Schizosaccharomyces pombe: one gene and its partners. The gene in region 2 interacts genetically with the main gene of each other region. Each region holds a gene or a part of one and is shown on either strand. Other genes may lie near its edges.

Region 1 (3,953 bases), on a different chromosome or scaffold from region 2:
AGCATTAAGCATGTGGATGTAATTATTGGATGTGTTAGTTTACTCTCTGCATAAGTGCTCGGTGGTTTTATAAACTAGTGAGAAGAATGATTTCCGAGTACTACTTGAAGTTAAGAAAATAATTAATACAATCTCTTTTGAAACTAACCAGTCCATAATAGTATTCAAAGAATCTGGAAAGTACAGAATTTTTGGGAGCCTGACACTGATGCGTTATAGTAAACACGGTAATGTAAATTTGTTAAATATTTAGTTTAACGTAATGGATTGAGGGTTACCATAAATAGAATTCATAAGAAAAAATGGAGGAAGGGTGTCTTTATGATGTCCGCTAGCATTAAAGAGCATTTTTTTATTCAAGGATCGTATTCATATAACTGGAAGGCTATGTTAAGCATTTTTTTAATGCCTTTGTATGATTATTGTTACCTGATTTATGTTTACGTTATCTATGCGTGGTGTCACTAATTTGCAGTATATGTTCATGTGAGACGCACATTCGATAATTTACCATTAACGTGCAAGTTACATTTATTGAAAGTAGGTAATTTGCATTCTAATGGGTGGTCTCGTTGTTTTACTTGTCGGCCTTTTGACGGCCTTAATGAGTGTAGTTTCTTACTATGTCTCGCCCAAGGGAAATAATACTAGGTAAGAAGTTTGCTACTGATTGGAGTGAATCATCTATATATCGAGGTATAGCAATTATGTTCCCATTTAAAGTCTTGTGTTATGATCAGTAGCTTGTTTTTACTTCGTTTCATTTTCGTTTAGAGATATGGAAAAGTATATGTGATTGTCTTTCTTGCAACCAATCAAGGTAGCGCTGTTTAGGCCTTGTCTTCAGCTGCACATGGACAATCTGGAATTGGGATCAGTTGCTTGTATTATATTTTCATACTCCTTCCTTTAACAAAAGTTTTATTAACTCTCAATTAGTACTTGGCAGATGTCATTAATTCTTACTTTTTCTTGTTGCTATTTATTATGGTTAGTGCATTTGTGGTGTTCTTATGCATCCATATTGTTTTTCTTTTTTACTAACATCGTTCTTAGGGCAATTACTTATTTAGCACAGTTGCATCCATTAGAGGCTCCATCTCGAGTTCTTGAGTAATGAAGTTTAGTATAATCATAGTGATTTTTAATGTTTGTACATTCTTCCTCTTTTATTTTACTTATCGTTTAGACTGCAAGCTTTCCAATTAGAATCTACTTTTGAACCTTTTCCTCTTCCTATTTTTTGATACTATTCGTTTCTGATCGTCGGGCTCAACTTTCTAGTCTCTAAAATCCTATTGGTGTTTGTCGATTATTATTACAAATCAAACACGTTTGAGTATTTCTTATTTTTATAATCCATATCTTTAAACGTTTCTTATTTTAATATATATATGGAGTCAGTTAAGTCATGGCTGGAACCTGGCGTTATTTAAAGGTCGGTTCACGTGGATTTCAACATTGCATTTAATCTTTGCGAAAGGATATACCTTCATTATTTCTTTTCTTTGATTTTACTAGATTTATTGGTCTCCCCGTCTTTTGGTTGTCGCTTTTTCTTTTACTCGGATGTGTGTATGAAAGGCGACGTATATTTACGTTATCAAAAGCCTTGCTACAAATATACTGAATCATATAGAAATACAATAAAAAATTGAAATAATAGACACAACAGGATATTCAAAAGTTTTTTTGGTGCCAAAAACTCTAAGATGTTGTAAGTTTAGTTTAATATTTGGACTGAAGTTCATGATAGTAGTGGCGCTCCTAATACGCAATTTTAGTTGACTAAAAAAAATATTTGAGATAGAGAAAGTCTGAATTGTTATTAAAGGTCTACTGGCTTCATAAACACAAGTTCGCGACTATTCAACATTGTTCCACTATAGCACATAGACATTTGCACACACTGATAGTTAAGAAATACATTTTACAGTGTGATTTTGAACGGATTGGTTTCTTGAAAAGATAGGAAGACTGAAAAAATAAAGATTCGTATATAAAAAAAGCGAAAAACTTACACTAGTGATGTTGAATGCGATATAATTTTCTGTTATGAAGAAAAAAGGGTTGAACTTACCAAATTTACGCATTTACTAGATTTTTCGTGTATTATACCTTTTTAAAATGAAACAAGAATATATTCCGCTAGACGAATTCCCAAACAAGTCTAATGAAGGGATGCTGAATGATGAAGGTACCTCTTCTTCTGGCTTATCGACAAGAACGCGTAGCTTAGAGCTTTTTGACAATATGGAAGAAAGTGGCTCCTTTCCAAAAGTGGAAAGGAAAATACAATCGCTTTTGGATGAGCTGGCTGAAGTGTTGTTTCAATCTAAACAGCCCAACGACTTGACCAGGATTCGAAAAGCCATCGCTGAGCAGTTGCAGTTATGGTGTCAAGCTTGTCAAGAAAACGCTGATTTATATAGGAGCCAGCAAAGGAAATTGAAGAGCCGTTGGGACTCGCAGACAGACATTTTATCCCAAATTGAATCGACCAAAGCAAGTCTGGCAGAGGTGCACAAAGCGGAAGAAATATCGAATCTAAAGACAAGCATTACACATTTAGATGAGGAAATTCAAATTTTGCAGGAAAAGTTGGCGATTGTAACGAACCAACGAAACACCCTTGTAAAACGACTCCAGACTTATGATAATCTAGAAAAGAAAAAGGCACTCAGTATGGAAGATCGCCTTTTAACTCTGCAGGAGCAGTATGATGCACATGCTAATGTATCTTCCCTTGAAAAACGGATGGAAGTATTGAAGAAAAGAGAAGATCTTTTGCGACTAATGGTCGGGCAAGCACTTCCAGGAATGCAATTCTTCCAACGTTTGATCCATCAAATCCAAGCTGTCGAAACAAAACTAATCTCAATACTGGGGCCTACTTCTTTATCAGAAGCTGCTTTGCCTCCATTAACTGACGTTCAGCGCACTAGTGTATTATCACTCTTGACCTCGACTCTTCACTCTTTGGAGTCGGCGAGACAGATTGCTGACTCCAATACATGGAAGCCAATCATTGTTTGTTTAGAGCTCGAAATTGTATATTTTGAGAATATGCTTACTGCGATAACCTCGACTCCCGTTTCTTCCTAATAATTTAATTTTCATTCCGTATACTATCAATACAACCTTCTAATATTAAAATATGGTCATTCAATGGCACAATGCATTCCTTGGCGTGTTGACCGACAGCCTTACTACTTTTACCCTGCACGGCTTCAAGATACCTGTTAATTGTGGAGAAATATATATTTCATACATGATTTTACCTCCAGATTTTCAGCCTCATCTAGCACCACATCGTTAAAATCGTATATAATATTTATTTCAGCTGTATTTTCGGCATGATATTTATTTAATAACACCAACTTTGATCATCTTTGATTTGTCTTCTCAAACTCTCTTCTACACAACAAATGACAAAATGTTAAAGTAATGCGAGTCGAGTTCATTAGTGATTCAATTCAAATATGCTATTGAATGCCTATTTCCATACTTAAACTGTCAATCTCCTACCCAAATCAAACACTGTCATAATAAACATCCCTGAATCTAAAGCTACCTTAATAATCTTTGTTTTGTCTTGTTCAACCATCAACCTACTACAAACGAAACAGTTTTCAAAAAGTAACACCATTTTAGTTTTCAAACAATTCTACGCTAATACCACGTACATTCACTTTCGGTTCACATAACCGATTCTGTCAAACATCCTCAGAATGTCGTTTTCCATTTCGAACCCATTCTTTCAGTTTTCCATTTCCATTCAATACGACACAGTCGTATGAAGATGGATTCTAGCTTATTTGCAAAATGTCACGGAACCAAGAAATCCGATTTTGAACAAACGACATTGCGGCTCCTTGTTCGTCGCAATCCTCCGTTTGAGTGAAATTCATCGAAATCACTTCTAAAGCTACGCTGTCTTATTTTTGCCGCAC
Region 2 (4,545 bases):
AGCTGCATGAACCTAATGCTGAAGATGCTCCGTCTAGAGATTATATCCCTCTTCCTCCTCATAAAGGTGTTGATATTCTTTCAGAAGTTGAGGCTGTGAAAGATTGGAGTAAAAGATTACATCTTGGACCTAGAGCCTCCCTTCCTAGTGTTTGTATGTACACATTCCATCACACCAATAACAACATGAACTGTGCTGAATTTTCTCCTGACTCCACAATGATCGCCTGTGGTTTTCAAGAAAGTTATATACGGCTATGGTCAATAAAGGCTGACAAAAAATCATTACCTAAGTCAACTTCTGTAGAGGATTCAGATGGCTCAGTACGTTTACTGAGTCATTCTGGTCCTGTTTACGGCACCACATTTTCTCCCGATAATAAATATTTACTATCTTGTTCCGAAGATGCTAGCGCCCGGCTGTGGTCTGTTGACACAAAAACTGCTTTGGTAGCTTACAAGGGACATACTGGCCCGGTTTGGGATGTTGCCTTTGGTCCGTTTGGTCATTACTTCGCTACTGCTTCTCATGACCAGACTGCACAACTTTGGAGCTGTGATCATATATACCCACTTAGAGTTTTTGCTGGGCATTTAAGTGATGTAGACGTATGATTATTATCTTTTTTAAGAAATGTGTTTCCTTATGACTGACTTGTATTTAGTGCGTTACCTTTCATCCAAACTCCGCTTATGTGCTAACTGGATCAAGCGATAAAACATGCAGGCTTTGGGATGTACATAGAGGACATTCTGTTCGTGTTTTTAATGGACATACCCAACCGGTAACTGCTGTTGCGATTGCCCCAGATGGTCATACTATGGCAAGTGCTGGTATGTTATACATTTGTTATTACTAATGATTTTACTAATTTGATTAAAGACAGTGAAGGTCTAATTCACCTTTGGGACATAGGAACAGGAAGGCGTATAAAGACAATGCGAGGTCACAGAGGCAACATATACTCTTTGTCATTTTCTCGCGAATCCACGGTCCTCGTTAGCGGAGGGTCAGATTGTACTGTGAGAGCTTGGGACGTTTTCAAAACTAATTACAACAATCCTGTTTCTTCTTCTCTAACGGGAAGTGTTGTTACACCTTTCTCTGCTAAAACATCCACATTTAATGAAGTCAATTGGTCTACAAGGTATGAGAAAATGTAATGGAATCGATATATTTACTAACCTTCTCAAACAGTCCGGATCAAATGGTAGCTCTTTATACGAAGCAAACCCCTATATTTAATGTCTCCTTTACGCGTCGTAACCTTTGCTTAGCAATAAGCGTTAGTTAGATAAATAAACCTTTTTTGATCTTCAATATGTTTCTTCCCGTCCATACTTTAAGAAATTTGGCATTATATAAAAAAAGATTATAAAAAATTTAATTTAAATATTAAACATTATCTTACTTTACGATAATGAGTCAACAACTAACTGCCTTTTAACAACTTTGAGACATCCATGTATCGGAATCGAAATTAGGCTGAATAATTCATATTTGATGTTCCGGAAAAGCTTTTAATATTATAAACTTCATAAAGGACTTCTGATGATACATTATATATTAAATTTTTCAGTAGCTCCAATATTTACATAGACCATAACAGCGCTAAACATAAGCTAAAATAATTTCATGTTTGGACCCTAAATTATATTATTTAGAAAAAAAATTAATAATATGAATTAATTGAAAGCATTCATATGCAATTATATACCTAAAAAACGATTAACAGGACACTGAGTTTTCGTCTCAAATCTTGGTGGTGAGCTTTCGTATCCCACCTATAAGCTATCACGGGGTTCGACTCTTGCCGTTCACCAACAACCTCACTTTTATTGTATATATAGTGAATGTTGTAAATTAGAATTCATCTCGACTTTGATATTTTGCGAGATACCGTCTATGTTTAATCCTAGGTATACGCAAGGTACAATTTATCCAGGAGCGCACCCGGGGCTGTTGACGCCAGACCATCAACATGCAGCAATATTATCTGTACAGAATTCGCCAGCTTTAGAAAATAGTAATATTTCTGAACATTGGAAACAGCAAATTGCACTTGCAACTCAGTCCAGGTCCTTCAGTTCACCACACCAACGAGCTCATAATGCTGCGGCTTTAGCACGAAGTGGAGGACCTGGGTTTTCGATGAATTACAATGCTCGGACTGGAGCTTTTACCGGAGGCCCTAATGCTGCTGGCTTATCCTCGTTAGGGGGAAAGTACAATACTAGCTCCACTACTACAACATTGACGACCTCAACAACATTAAACACTTCCAGTGGTACTACCTTAAACAGTACGTCAAAAACAACCACTTCTTCTGTTGCGGTTGATGACCAAAAGTCGAAATCTGACTCTAAGAAAGAGAGACGGGATTGGACTTGTTTGGACCTTGGTGGTATTGGTTTGAGAAATGTGAGCACTGATTTATTTAAATTCTCTTTTTTGACTGAATTATACATAAACCATAATAATCTTACCCGATTACCACCTGAAATTGGCAAACTGAAGAATTTGGTTATTTTGGATGCCTCTGGAAACAGCATTAAAACTATTCCACCAGAGCTTGGTTTACTTACTGAGCTTAGAGAAGTCCTATTGTTTGATAATATGATTAGTGTAATACCTGCCGAACTCGGTACCCTTTTCCAATTGAAAATTCTTGGTATTGAAGGTAATCCTCTTCAAGACGTTTACAAGAATCAAATCATGGAAAGTGGTACTGCAGGTTTAATTGCTGCTTTGCGCGATGGTTGCCCTGTTGGCCCTCCTCCTCCTGAGCGTGGATGGGAAAAACTTGTTTCCGATGATGATGATGATGTTAATGACAATGTTTCAACCTCTGTTAGAGATTTAACGGCTGCTGATTCTAACAAGCCCTCTACAACATCTAAGAATCTCAAGTTTACTATTATGAGTTATAATGTGCTTTGTGAACGTTATGCTACATCCACATTGTATGGCTATACTCCTTCATGGGCACTCTCTTGGTCGTATCGCAAAGATTTAATCATGCAAGAATTAGGTGGTTATAATGCTGATATCATTTGTTTGCAAGAAGTTGATGTTGAGAACTATGATACTTTTTTTGCTCCACAAATGAGTTTGAAAGGTTATAAAGGTGTCCACTTCCCGAAAAGTCGCGTACGAACTATGAATGAGGTTGAACGTCGCATCGTCGATGGTTGTGCTACATTTTTCAAAACATCTAAATATGTCATGCACGAAAAGATGGTGATAGAATATAATCAAGCACCATCTCTTCGTAGGCAAGACATTAAACTAACGTCTAACATGTACAACCGTGTTATGACTAAAGATAACATTAGTGTGATTACTCTTCTTGAGAATAAGGAAAATGGATCGCGATTGATCGTTGCAAATTGTCATATTCATTGGGATCCTCAGTTTAGGGATGTCAAGGTTATACAAGTTGCAATGCTCATGGATGAGATTGCACAGGTTGCAACAAAATTCCGTAATATGCCTTCCAAGATTCCTTCTGACCAGTTAAAGGATGAAAGACCTACCTATCCCGAGTATTTAAAGATCCCCATCTTAATTTGTGGAGATTTTAATTCCGTCCAAGGCAGTGGTGTTTATGACTTTTTATCATCTGGTAGCATTAGCCAAAATCATGAAGATTTTATGAATAATGATTACGGAGAATACACTGTTAATGGACGTTCTCATGCATTTAATTTGAAATCTGCATATGGTGAATCTGAAGCTCTCTCCTTCACTAACTATACACCTGGCTTTAAGGGTGCCATTGATCACATTTGGTACACCGGCAATAGCTTGGAGGTAACCGGTTTGTTGAAAGGAGTGGATAAAGATTATCTTTCCGGCGTTGTTGGTTTCCCTAACGCACACTTCCCTAGTGATCATATTTGCTTGCTGGCCGAGTTTAAAGTGAAACAGGAGAAGACACCCTTACCTTCATCAAAGTTTAACAATGATAAAAAATGATTGTTAGTTTTTGTCGTGTTTGTAGATTTTAGAGTGATACTTAGTAGCAAGTAGATGGATTTGATGTATGATTCTGCATTTCGCAAGTACCAGGTATTTGGTTAAGTTTACATAGATATCAAAGCAGTGTAATTTTCCTTGTCGTAATAATTTGAATAGATAAATTGTAAATCATTGAGGTTTCGTTTTTGTTTACGTAGTTATTCGTTTTACTTTTATTGGAAATTAGCATTAACAAGGGGTGAACCGCCACACATCGTACTGATGGTTTGCATTAAAACGTTGATTTTTTTATTTTCATAATAAAAATGAGCTTCGCCATTTCATCAACATTCAACCATCTCTAAAAATCGATTGTGTTGAAGATATCCTTATTTTGCTCAACATAACTTCACAAAAAATTCATAAAATATTTATCTATTTTAAAAAACCAACAAATTACAACGAGCGTAATACTAGAGAAATATAACATCAGTAAACGAAATAATATTGATAAGCAAGACTATGCTATCCTAGACTCAAGCCAAAAGTGCTGAAATTTTAATCATTCATTAATGTTTATAATAG
Region 3 (3,407 bases), on a different chromosome or scaffold from region 2:
CTAATATCATACATAGCATCTTCGCCATGTTCACCTATAAATCCCATTTTGTTAGTAATGTCTCAAAAAGCAAAGGAAATATGCTTACCTGGTAATTTCGATGTAATCTTATTCTGGAAGCGGTTCGCAGAATCCGACATCGAATGCAGTGATTTTTTTGTTGAGTCAAACATTACGATTAGTTTGAAATTGATTTCTCACAATTGACGCAAAAACCGATTTTACCCAAATGTTTGCGGTGGACAGCTTCCGACTCTCGAAATTCCTTAAGTCCGCTTTTCTAAGAGCCCATAGGGTAAACAACTACACAACGTGCTAGTAATATCAGCCAGCTGATAGGAAAAAATAATGTCTTTGAGTTCTTTTTGATAAAACATAACAAAATAGTAAGCAGCTAATAAGCTTCGCGTTTGTTGTCAATACTTACTATCAGAATTGCAGCATTGCTATTACGCTTGCTAAATTGGATAATATACGTAGAGTTCTATATTCATTCAATTGAAAACTTGTTAAAATCGCATTCTTTATGCGTATATTAGTTATACAACTATGGCTGTCAGAAAATGCAAACAAACTACCACAAGAAGTGATCCTTCCAATGATAAACGTTTATGTTAACAGAATGTAAAATCATTGCTTTTCAAGTAAATCTTATAAACACTAGATGTTGATGACTTTCATAAATAGAAAGTAGGGATTACAATTCATCTGTTCCGTCATCTTCAACATTTTCTTGAGACAACTGCCCAGATTTGATAATTTTTACATCTTCAAGAGGCTTATCACGGTTGTCAGTCTCAGCTTTGGAAATTTTCTTGACAATATCGTAACCAGAAAGGACTGATAAAATTAGTATTAGCAAACAAAAAAAAGGAAAAAGAAAACAAATAGTCACTTTTATAAAACATATACAACTACAATATGAATTCTTACCTTCACCAAAAACAACATGGTGTCCATCTAACCAAGGTGTTTTAACTGTAGTAATGAAAAACTGAGATCCATTGGAATCGGGTCCAGCGTTAGCCATGCTAAGCAAACCGGGACGTTGGTGAGAAAGCTTAAAGTTTTCATCAGGAAAACGGCTGCCATAAATTGATTTTCCACCAGTACCATCACCCTTCGTAATATCACCACCTTGAATCATGAAATTGGGAATAACGCGATGGAAAATAGATCCTTCATATCCAAATCCCTTTTCTCCGGTGGCTAATGCGCGGAAATTTTCGGCTGTTTTGGGAACAGTTTTACCAAACAATCCAATGGTAACTCTTCCAAGGAACTCATCACCTTGTTGCAAGTCGAAATACACTGTGTCTGTAACTTTGGGGCCACGGTTGGCAGAGATAAGCCCAAAGAAAAGAGTAAAAAGTAAAGAGAAATAGAACAACTTCATTTTTGTTTTCACAAACTAAAAGCTTCGTTGTGTGGTAAAGGATAAATAAATAGTTATGGTGGGGTTTAATAGCAAGACTCGCTAGATTTTGGTTGCTGTAGCAACTTTTAGCACAATGTTAAGCAAATAATTCAAGAAGCGCTTATTTGTTTACATCAAACACTACTATTTTTCTAATGGTTTGATTATTTAATGAAAGATAGAAATAGTAATTATTTGCAAAATTCTATTTCCTAACCTTTTTTGGAAGGTATTTACGTGTTAAGCGTGCTATTATTTATTTACACAACGTCTTTATTTCCATTCTTGCTTTTCTTCCTAAAAGAGTTGTGACTTTTGTTGTACCAAGGATTGAGTATATACCAATTATGGCTATCATACTATAAAGAAGTAGTAAAAATTCCTTTTGATTGTGTACTGCTTAAGATTCGTAAAGTATTTATTTATTACGAAATAAGGTAACTTATCATAGTATCATAAGATTGCTTCATATCTCTGTATACGTTACCCAAGGGTACGCTTATTTATCCAAGACCGTATACCACATAACTCACGCACCGTTTACAAAGAACACCGAATTTTGAAGCAATTGAAGAGAGGAGTTACTACTTCAAGCAAGAAGTTTGAGAGTTCTCATGCGTTCTCAATTCAAGGACGACTTTTCTTTTGGTATGTGTCAAAAACTTATAGAAGTTGTTTTTTGGACAGCATTGTAGAATACCTGGAACTAGTAGGCTAATTAATAATCAGAGAAACGAAAAACAGAGTCTCAAAGAATCCGGGAAAAATATCCCGATCGAATACCTGTAAGTAGAGTCTGGTGGTCAAAGAGAACAGGTTTCAGAGCAAAATAGTGGTGAATTGAACAACACCCATTGTTTTTGTCATCAAAAGTGAATCCATTGTTACAAGTCTGACCTTTTTCTTTCAAAAATACAAATTACGTTTTAAACTTAACTGCTAACTTAACAGGTTATTTGCGAGAAAGTTGATAAATCTGATATTGCTGCAATAGATAAAAAGAAATATCTCGTTCCATCTGACCTTACAGTTGGTCAATTTGTATATGTTATTCGCAAACGGATAAAACTTTCTCCTGAGAAGGCCATCTTTATTTTCATTGATGAAATCTTGCCCCCGACAGCGGCCTTGATGTCAACGATATACGAAGAGCATAAAAGTGAGGACGGCTTTTTGTATATCACGTATTCAGGAGAAAATACATTTGGAACAGTGTTTCCTTTTTAGATCAACAATTTGCCTGTTTTAAGATGGCCCCGCCTTCTTTTAATTGTGATCAGCAAAATTGTTTGTGGACAATGGTTGAATGATTCTTTATGTTTTTTTTACTCTGCATTTCTAGCTTTTTAGCTTTCAAGTTTCTTTGCTTTTGCATTATGATTATTTTACGCGCGTCTTATACATATCATTCTCAGGTTAGCCACCACGATTTTAAGGATGTTTCAGATTTGTCTTACAATAGATGTGATGAACGCTTATGACTAGTTTGCTTTGACAACAAAGTTATTTTACCTTGTTAATTAATAAAAACCATCAATTAAAAAAATTGATTTTGATTTTCTAATAATATTAAAATGTTGATAAATAATAAGTAGATATATATCATCAGCTGATTCTATCCTTTTTTACATTAACTGGTTGTCATAATAGCGAATACTATTCACATGCCCCAAAAAATTGGTCAATCGTAAACTTTCATAATTCAAGCAACAAGTGTTATAACTATATTTCAAAATAAAGCCCACTCCTGCATTTCAAAAATTTCAGTAGCATTTCATCACTGAGAATGCTCCATCTTTATCGATGGGCGGCACCTGTTGATAATAAAACTAATTTCTTCTTTTTTTTGTTTTTTGAGTTTTTGGAAGGTGCAGATAATTGAGCAACTTTGTCCCAGTCAACTTTCCAACCATCAAGATCGTCTTGATCATCGGTGTCATTTTGAATATTGGCAAGAGCTCTTGTTCCCCAAACAGTCTTTGCAGTAGAT

Evidence for each region.
Region 1: mutations in ccr4 (region 2) and SPOM_SPBC1685.04 together harm fitness less than expected from each alone (positive genetic interaction), as found in Schizosaccharomyces pombe (2 studies listed by BioGRID).
Region 3: mutations in ccr4 (region 2) and cyp4 together harm fitness less than expected from each alone (positive genetic interaction), as found in Schizosaccharomyces pombe (2 studies listed by BioGRID).

What each region holds. Positions count from the first base shown.
Region 1 is NC_003423.3:500,746-504,698, forward strand, and holds SPOM_SPBC1685.04 (uncharacterized protein), read left to right. Parts: upstream 1-1,918; 5' UTR 1,919-2,127; coding exon 2,128-3,105; 3' UTR 3,106-3,448; downstream 3,449-3,953. Other genes in the region: vma9 (V-type ATPase V0 subunit e), read left to right, coding at 560-651, 940-990, 1,057-1,117.
Region 2 is NC_003421.2:636,894-641,438, reverse strand, and holds ccr4 (CCR4-Not complex subunit Ccr4), read left to right. Parts: upstream 1-1,815; 5' UTR 1,816-1,905; coding exon 1,906-3,978; 3' UTR 3,979-4,004; downstream 4,005-4,545. Other genes in the region: taf5 (transcription initiation factor TFIID subunit 5), read left to right, coding at 1-608, 665-833, 883-1,147, 1,198-1,294. UniProt on the Schizosaccharomyces pombe protein: Acts as a catalytic component of the CCR4-NOT core complex, which in the nucleus seems to be a general transcription factor, and in the cytoplasm the major mRNA deadenylase involved in mRNA turnover.
Region 3 is NC_003423.3:3,683,890-3,687,296, reverse strand, and holds cyp4 (cyclophilin family peptidyl-prolyl cis-trans isomerase Cyp4), read right to left. Parts: upstream 1,433-3,407; 5' UTR 1,397-1,432; coding exon 934-1,396; exon of another isoform or gene 841-933; coding exon 698-840; 3' UTR 506-697; downstream 1-505. Other genes in the region: SPOM_SPBP8B7.26 (uncharacterized protein), read right to left, coding at 1-34, 89-173; autophagy-associated protein Atg8, read left to right, coding at 2,032-2,065, 2,147-2,202, 2,369-2,644; rnf10 (ubiquitin-protein ligase E3), read right to left, coding at 3,215-3,407. UniProt on the Schizosaccharomyces pombe protein: PPIases accelerate the folding of proteins. It catalyzes the cis-trans isomerization of proline imidic peptide bonds in oligopeptides.